2 linked regions of the Canis lupus familiaris genome follow. The protein of the gene in region 2 binds, or shares a complex with, the protein of the main gene of each other region. Links are inferred from orthologs where the notes say so. Each region holds a gene or a part of one and is shown on either strand. Other genes may lie near its edges.

The links.
Region 1: METTL3 (region 2) and CBLL1 share a complex: the UniProt entries of both Homo sapiens proteins name them as parts of the WMM complex. The link is inferred for Canis lupus familiaris from reciprocal best matches to the Homo sapiens genes METTL3 and CBLL1.

What each region holds. Positions count from the first base shown.
Region 1 is NC_049239.1:13,099,477-13,103,298, forward strand, and holds part of CBLL1 (E3 ubiquitin-protein ligase Hakai), read right to left. Parts: intron 669-3,822; coding exon 501-668; intron 1-500. UniProt on the Homo sapiens protein: E3 ubiquitin-protein ligase that mediates ubiquitination of several tyrosine-phosphorylated Src substrates, including CDH1, CTTN and DOK1. Targets CDH1 for endocytosis and degradation.
Region 2 is NC_049236.1:18,658,523-18,662,344, reverse strand, and holds part of METTL3 (N6-adenosine-methyltransferase catalytic subunit), read left to right. Parts: intron 1-2,024; coding exon 2,025-2,242; intron 2,243-2,332; coding exon 2,333-2,737; intron 2,738-3,822. UniProt on the Homo sapiens protein: The METTL3-METTL14 heterodimer forms a N6-methyltransferase complex that methylates adenosine residues at the N(6) position of some RNAs and regulates various processes such as the circadian clock, differentiation of embryonic and hematopoietic stem cells, cortical neurogenesis, response to DNA damage, differentiation of T-cells and primary miRNA processing.

The sequences.
Region 1 (3,822 bases), on a different chromosome or scaffold from region 2:
AAAGAAGTTATAAAAACTATTAAATTACGGCATATCCATAAAAAAGAAATATCCAAACCTATTTTCTTAAATGAGTACATCTGTATATACTGATACGTGGAAAAATTTCAAATGCATCTTACATGAAAAAAGGGCAGTAATACATTAAAAAGTTACTATACTATAAAAAAGTTGTAACAGAAATCATTTTGGTGGAGTACTGTCGAAGTAGAGGAACAAATTTTACTTTTCATATTATGCTTTCTGCAGTATTATTTAGGTTTTTTTATTTTCAAACAACAGGCAGTGTTACTTTCAATAACAAAAGAAAAAAACAAAAATACTATACAGGAAAGTACATGCCAAAATGAGAAGTCAAACAGAAAGACTGAAAAAAAGTGAAGACAATTAAGATAAAAAAAGGTCATTATTAGTAAATTAATAAATAAGACCACATGGATTATTTGCTGGAATTAGATACAAAAGAAAGACTTTTGGACTTGTCAGTTTAAACAAATTACCTTCATCACCAGGTGGAGCCTTTGCAGGCATCCTGTTTATAGTCCTTGGAGTTCGAGGCGCAGTTTTGGTTTTGTTCCCTTGTTTGGAGATGAGCTTTATAGGAATTCGTCTTCGAACATCAAGACCACCCAATGATCCAGAACTATTAGTGCCTTGTAACTCATTGTCTATGTCAGAAGAAAAAAGTTGTCATTTCTTTTAGTTTTCCTCTTTTGAAGATTATTCTGCCACAGGTATTAAAGTAACATACCCAACATTATCAAGGGCTAAATATGTAGGTTCTGATTTTAAATATTATGCTATATAAGTTTAAACATTAATTTTCTCTACATTAGATAAAACCTTAAAGCAATGCTTTTTGAGACAAAGAACCCTTTAAAAAGTTGACAAAAGTTATAGAACCTCTCCCTAAAAGTAGACAATAAAAATTTATGTGATTCCAGAAGAGTTTGCAGGAAACATAAGACCCTTCATAAGCCACTTCTGTCTTTAACTATGAGATAAGAACTTCTGTCTTTAACTATAAGAGATTTTTTAAAATTAAAAAAAAAAAAAAAGTAAAGGAAGTAGAAGGAGGAAAAGAAAGAAAATCATCCCTATCTCCACCAAGCACACAAAACACTTGTTAAAGTTAACGAAGTGAATCTACATTAGGACAATCAATAAAACAAAACACAAAACTAACACTGACAATGGCAAAATTAAATAAATAATGCATTTGAAAATGAAGTTAGTTTTAAGGAAAGTGATTATTTCCTTAAGTGTAAAATAGTTTTTCTAAAAAGTATTCAAGGATAGCAAAACTTATCACACCATTTAATAGCAGAAACATGCAATCATGTATTTGTGCTATAACCTTTCTAGATATATAATGTGAGTGTGCTATTGTAAGCAGCACAGCATCATAACGGAAAATTAGAGTTTAAGGGTATGCAAAATTTCTGCAATTAAACTAAATGTAAACAAGAGACACTTTCTAAGTCTCTGCTTGTTACTAGCTATGAAATAAATGAACTCATTTCTCATGAGTAATAGGAGCATTATTTCATAGAACTGACTCCATCGAAGGTTAATAGCCTCCCTTGTTTCAAGTCTGACAAAATATTACAATACAGTAAATATTCACCTTTACTACTAAAGACACAAAGGGAAATGCCCTAAAGTAGGAAATGCAAATAAAATAATTTTTTAAAATAGTAATGTTTTAAATGTGATAAATTATTGAACTTGCCATGCAGGAGATAGTACTATCAAGATTGATAGGCACACTGTCCACATTGCATTCAATAAAGCCAAATTAGGAAGTAGTAACCTAGTACTAATGACCTCCAAGGGTACTAGGATTTTAGACACGTGTTAAATTCACATCAATTTGCTTTGAACAATACTTTCTGAACAATACTTATTTTAAGTTTTATTTATCTAAGTAATCTCTATATCCTACATGCGGCTTGAACTCATGACCTCAAGATCAAGAGTCACATACTCTTCTGACCCAGCCAACCAGATGCCCCTCTTTCTGGACAATATTTAGAACAAAATTCAAAATAGGTCATTAATAATTAATTCCAATCTCTTTCAGTCTGCTTTCTGCTATTACTTTTACAAAAGCTAATCCTCAAAGAAAAAACTCATGGAAAGGAATTACATGGCTAGCTAAAATCCCCAGTTAGGATAAACCCAACTTGGTCAACCTTCAAACTTCACTACATGTATTAACAAGTTGAATAATGTATTTCATCTGCTTCCATTACAGTTATTTATGTAAAAGTATCTACAAGCCAAAAGACATGAATCATTTTTTTTTCTTTCTCAAAAGGTATTCCTGATTTTCCAATAAAGTAGAAAAGCAAGTTAATGTAGACAGATATTTAACAGTTCAATGTTGTCCTTCAGATACTAGAAAGACTCAATGGTTTTATCTAGTGGAATGACCAAATCCCAACCCTTCATTACTGCAAATCCTTTTCCCACCACCCTGAACACCTGTCACAATTGCTTGCTTAGTCCACCACAACTTCTAGGGAGTCTACTGCCCCTTAACACCTTGCCACCTACTCACAAATTGCAAGCCCATAAACAAAGTACAGCATTTAACAGTGACATCATTCTGGGCTTGCCTTTTTTTTTTTTTAATTAAAAATCAGAAAATACAGCAATTTCTTCTTGAACATGCCAACTAAAAATATAAATCCCGTAACCACAAAAGTTCTTGGATTTTACACAGAAAATGAGAACTAAAAATATAACTGACCATTTATTTTTACTTTTTACTTTTTAAAGATTTTCTTAAGTGATCTCTACATCCAATGTGGGGCTTGAACTTACAACCCCAAGATTGAGTCAAGCGCTCTACCAACAAAGCCAGCCAGGCACCTCTGTAATTTGTCATTTAAGGTGAATCCACTTTAAAAAGGAGTAACACTCTTACATGATAGTATTTTTTTAAAAGATGTGTTTAGAATTTTATCCTGAATTAAAGGAACCCAAGAAATATCTTACAAAATTTAGATTTCTGTTATAACTAACTGCTGATTCTTAGAACAACCTAAAGAATGAATCAAGTATTAATTGGAGTTTCTTGGAGTAGTTTTTCCTGGCAAAATGCTATTAGAAGATAGACTTCATTATATGTTTGACTTTTCAGCATGATCATAAAATCAGTCATTTTTTGCGTAATATTCAAGGGTTTCGTCAATTTCCTCAAGGGCCTCTCTTAAACCCTCCACATTAAAATTTTTCCGTTAAGATGCCTACCTGATCATAATGTCTTCAATCAACTGGCACTTCCTCACTTGCCAATGATTTTTTTTTTTTTTAATTTTATTTATTTACTCATGAGAGACAGAGAAAGAGGCAGAGGCAGAAGCACAGGCAAACTCCCTGGTAGGGAGCCCAATGCAGGACTCGATCCCAGGACTCCGGGATCACGCCCTGAGCCAAAGGCAGATGCTCAACCGCTGAGCAACCCAGACATCCCAGTTGCCCGTTTTAGTTGTGCTTCAGTTATCAAATTCATGTTTATGAATTCCATGAAAACCTGAATCTTTTGCAAGTTTTATAATCAGTCAATATACAGCATGTGATACCATTTCCTGATGTGATACCATTTCCGGATAGAAAGCAAGGACAATGGCTTACAACAAAATTAAAAGAATTGAAAAAGGAACGCCTGGCTGGCTCAGTCAATAGACCATGTGACTCTTGATCTAGGGGTTGTAAGTTCCAGCTCCAGGTTGGGTGCAGAGCTTACTTTAAAAATAAAATCTTTTAAAAACAGAAAAGGAGCAGCAGGGATATCTGAGTAGGAACTAATTTTTT
Region 2 (3,822 bases):
GAGTTGGATACTTAACCAACTGAGCCACCCAGGTACCTTAAGCCTTTTTTAAAAAACAAAATAAAACTCATACTAATGGCAGCAACATATGTAAGATACTTGGCACAAAGTTTGAATATGAAATAAGTGGGAAGGGTAATGGATAATAATTTATGGCTTACCTAAAATATTAAAGATTTCATAGCTGCCTAACAAATGACCATATCCTAAGTATTGACTTAAAACTTTTCTACATCTTCCTTTAGCCCCATTATATATATATATTTTAAAGATTTTAAAGATTTTATTTATTTATTCTTGAGAGAGACAGAGAAGGAGAGACACAGGCAGAGGGAGAAGCAGGCTCCCCGCAGGGAGCCTGATGCTGGACTTGATCCCAGGACACCAGGATCATGCCGAGCTGAAGGCAGACAGATGCCCAACTGCTGAGCCCCCCAGGCGTCCCTGAAATCCTGATTTTTAAAGATTTTATTTATGTGAGAGAGAAAGAGGGCACAAGCAGGGAAGTGTCAGAGGGAGAAGGAGAAGCAGGCTCCCGCTGAGGAGGGGGACCCATGTGGGGCTCAGTCCCAGGACCCCGGGATCATGACCTGAGCTGAAGGCAGACGCTTAACCGACTGAACCACTGAGGCGCTCCTAAAGATTTTTAGTAATCTCTGCACCCAGCATGGGGCTTATATTCACAACCCCAAGATCAAGAATCGCATGCTCTCCCGACTGAGCCAACCAGATGCCCCCATCTGTATTTTAAGTAAACGATCATAGATACTAAGCTTCCTAAAAGGGAATATTTTATCCTAATTTGAATTCTTAAGTCTTGTTAAGGTTGTGATGACTACCTGGTTTATAAAGTAGTAGGGTAAGTGAGAAAAATGGTCAGGAAATCTCATTTGGTGACCAGGGTTTCCACAATGTTTTTTAAGATTTTTGTGTTTGAGTATTAAAGGATGCAGTCTAGGGGCACCTGGCTGGCTCAGTCGGTAGTGTGTGAGCCTCTTGATCTCAGGCTTGTAAGTTTGAAACCTATGTTGGGTGTAGAGATTACTTAAAAGTAAAACCTTTATTTTTAAAGATTTTATGTATTTGACAGCACAAGTAGGCAGAGCAGCAGGCAAAGGGAGAGAAGCAGACTGCAGTTGAGCAGAGAGCCAGATTCAAGGCTTAATCCCAGGACTCGGACGTGTGAGCCAAAGGCAGGTGCTTCACATACTTTGCCACCAAGTGCCCCTAAATTTGGGTTATTTCAGTTGTCATTTAGAGTGACTGAAGGGAGATGGTATGGACATTTATTTATTTTTTTAAAGATTTATTTATTTATTTATTTATTTATTTATTTATTTATTTATTTATTTATTTATTTATGATAGAGAGAGAGAGAGAGAGAGGCAGAGACACAGGAGGAAGGAGAAGCAGGCTCCATGCCAGGAGCCTGACGTGGGACTCGATCCCGGGACTCCAGGATCGCGCCCTGGGCCAAAGGCAGGCGCCAAACCGCTGAGCCACCCAGGGATCCCCATGGACATTTAAATCTACCATGCTGGGATCCCTGGGTGGTGCAGTGGTTTGGCGCCTGCCTTTGGCCCAGGGCGCGATCCTGGAGACCCGGGATCGAATCCCACGTCGGGCTTCTGGTGCATGGAGCCTGCTTCTCCCTCTGCCTGTGTCTCTGCCCCTCTCTCTCTCTCTCTCTCTCTGTGACTATCATAAATAAATAAAAATTAAAAAAAAAATAAAAAAAAATAAATCTACCATGCTGCTAATTTCCTTTGAAACACAGTAGGCACAGGAATTAGGAAAATACCTCATACTCAATAGAGAAAAGGTAAGTGGTTGACAGAAAATCCAGGATTATCTCGGCAAAGCAGTGAATGCTTGTATGATTGAGGAAAGGTGATCTAGTGCTAAATTTGGCCAGATATTCTCTACATGAAATGAAAGTACGAGCTGGAGAACTGACTCCTAAGGAGCATATAGACCTATGGTGGTTGCCCTTTGTCATTTTATTCACTTCTCTTCACTTCTAGATCTACGAAATCCAGAGGCAGCGCTGTCACCCAACTTTCGCAGTGATAGTCCAGTGCCTACTGTGCCCACGTCTGGGGGCCCTAAGCCCAGCACAGCTTCCGCAGTTCCTGAACTAGCTACAGACCCCGAGTTAGAGAAGAAATTGCTACACCACCTCTCTGATCTGGCCTTAACATTGCCCACTGATGCTGTGTCCATCCGTCTTGCCATCTCCACGGTAATAACCTGAAAAGACAGGGTTGGGAGATACCACTCCTTTGAGTTCATGGTCAGTGTCTTATTGCCTTCCCCTCCCCTCCTTCCCTAGCCAGATGCCCCTGCCACTCAAGATGGTGTGGAAAGCCTCCTACAGAAGTTTGCAGCTCAGGAGTTGATTGAGGTAAAACGAGGTCTCTTACAAGATGATGCGCATCCCACTCTTGTGACCTATGCTGATCATTCCAAGCTTTCTGCCATGATGGGCGCGGTGGCAGAAAAGAAGGGCCCTGGGGAGGTAGCAGGGACTATCACAGGGCAGAAGCGGCGTGCAGAGCAGGACTCAACCACAGTAGCTGCCTTTGCGAGCTCTTTGGCCTCTGGTCTGGCCTCTTCAGCATCAGAAGCAGCCAAGGAGCCAACCAAGAAATCAAGGAAACATGCTGCCTCAGATGTTGATCTGGAGATAGAGAGCCTTCTGAACCAACAGTCTACTAAGGAACAACAGAGTAAGAAGGTAGGGGTAGATGGAAATGCTTGTATACATATGCTTTGTTTTTGTTTTTTTGTTTTGTGTGTGTGTTTGTTAAGATCTCTAAGTAATCTCTACACCCATTGTGGGGCTCAGACTTTCACAGCCCCAAGTGCAAGAGTTGCATGCTCTACCAACTGAGCCAACCAGGCAATCCTTACATATATACTTTTTTTTTTTTTTTTTTATGATAGTCACAGAGAGAGAGAGAGAGGCAGAGACATAGGCAGAGGGAGGAGGCGGCTCCATGCACCGGGAGCCCAATGTGGGATTCGATCCCGGGTCTCCAGGATCACGCCCTGGGCCAAAAGGCAGGCACTAAACCACTGCGCCACCCAGGGATCCCACATATATACTTTTAATTACAGCTTTGAGAGGGATTTACCCCTAAGGACAAGGAGGAGTTCTTGCTGTAGGGTTGAGGGTTTAGAATAGTGGTTCTCAACTGGGGATAACATATATATATATATATATATTTTTTTTTTTTTTTAAGATTTAATTATTTGTTCATGAGAGACAGAGAGACATAGAGGAAGAAGCAGGCTCCTCATGGGTAGCCTGATGCGGGACTCAATCCTGGTTAGCCTGGGATCGTGACCTGAGCCAAAGGCAGTTGCTCAACCACTGGGCCACCCAGGTATCCCTCCACTGGGGATAATTTTGCTCCCTTTCCTACCCCCAGAGAACGTTTGTCAATGTCTGGAGATACTGCGGTTGTCATAACACAGGAGTGCTACAGGCATTTAGTGGGTAGAAGCAAGTGATGCTGCCAAGCGTCCTACAATCATAGCATAATCCCTATACAACAAAGAATTACTTCACCCCAAATGTCAATAATGCCAGTGTTGAGAAACTGATTTAGAGAATGTTTATCATTGGAAGAATCATTAGGTCAACAGAAGGGGGACACAAATATAGAAATAGGAGATGAATGGAGATGGATACTGGAAGGGAGTTACATGGACCATTAATTATGGAAACTGATGATTAAACAAGGTGAATTGGCAGTTCACTGTGGTTCTGAATATAAATATTGGACCTATGTGAATTCTTATCCATTTGCTACTTTT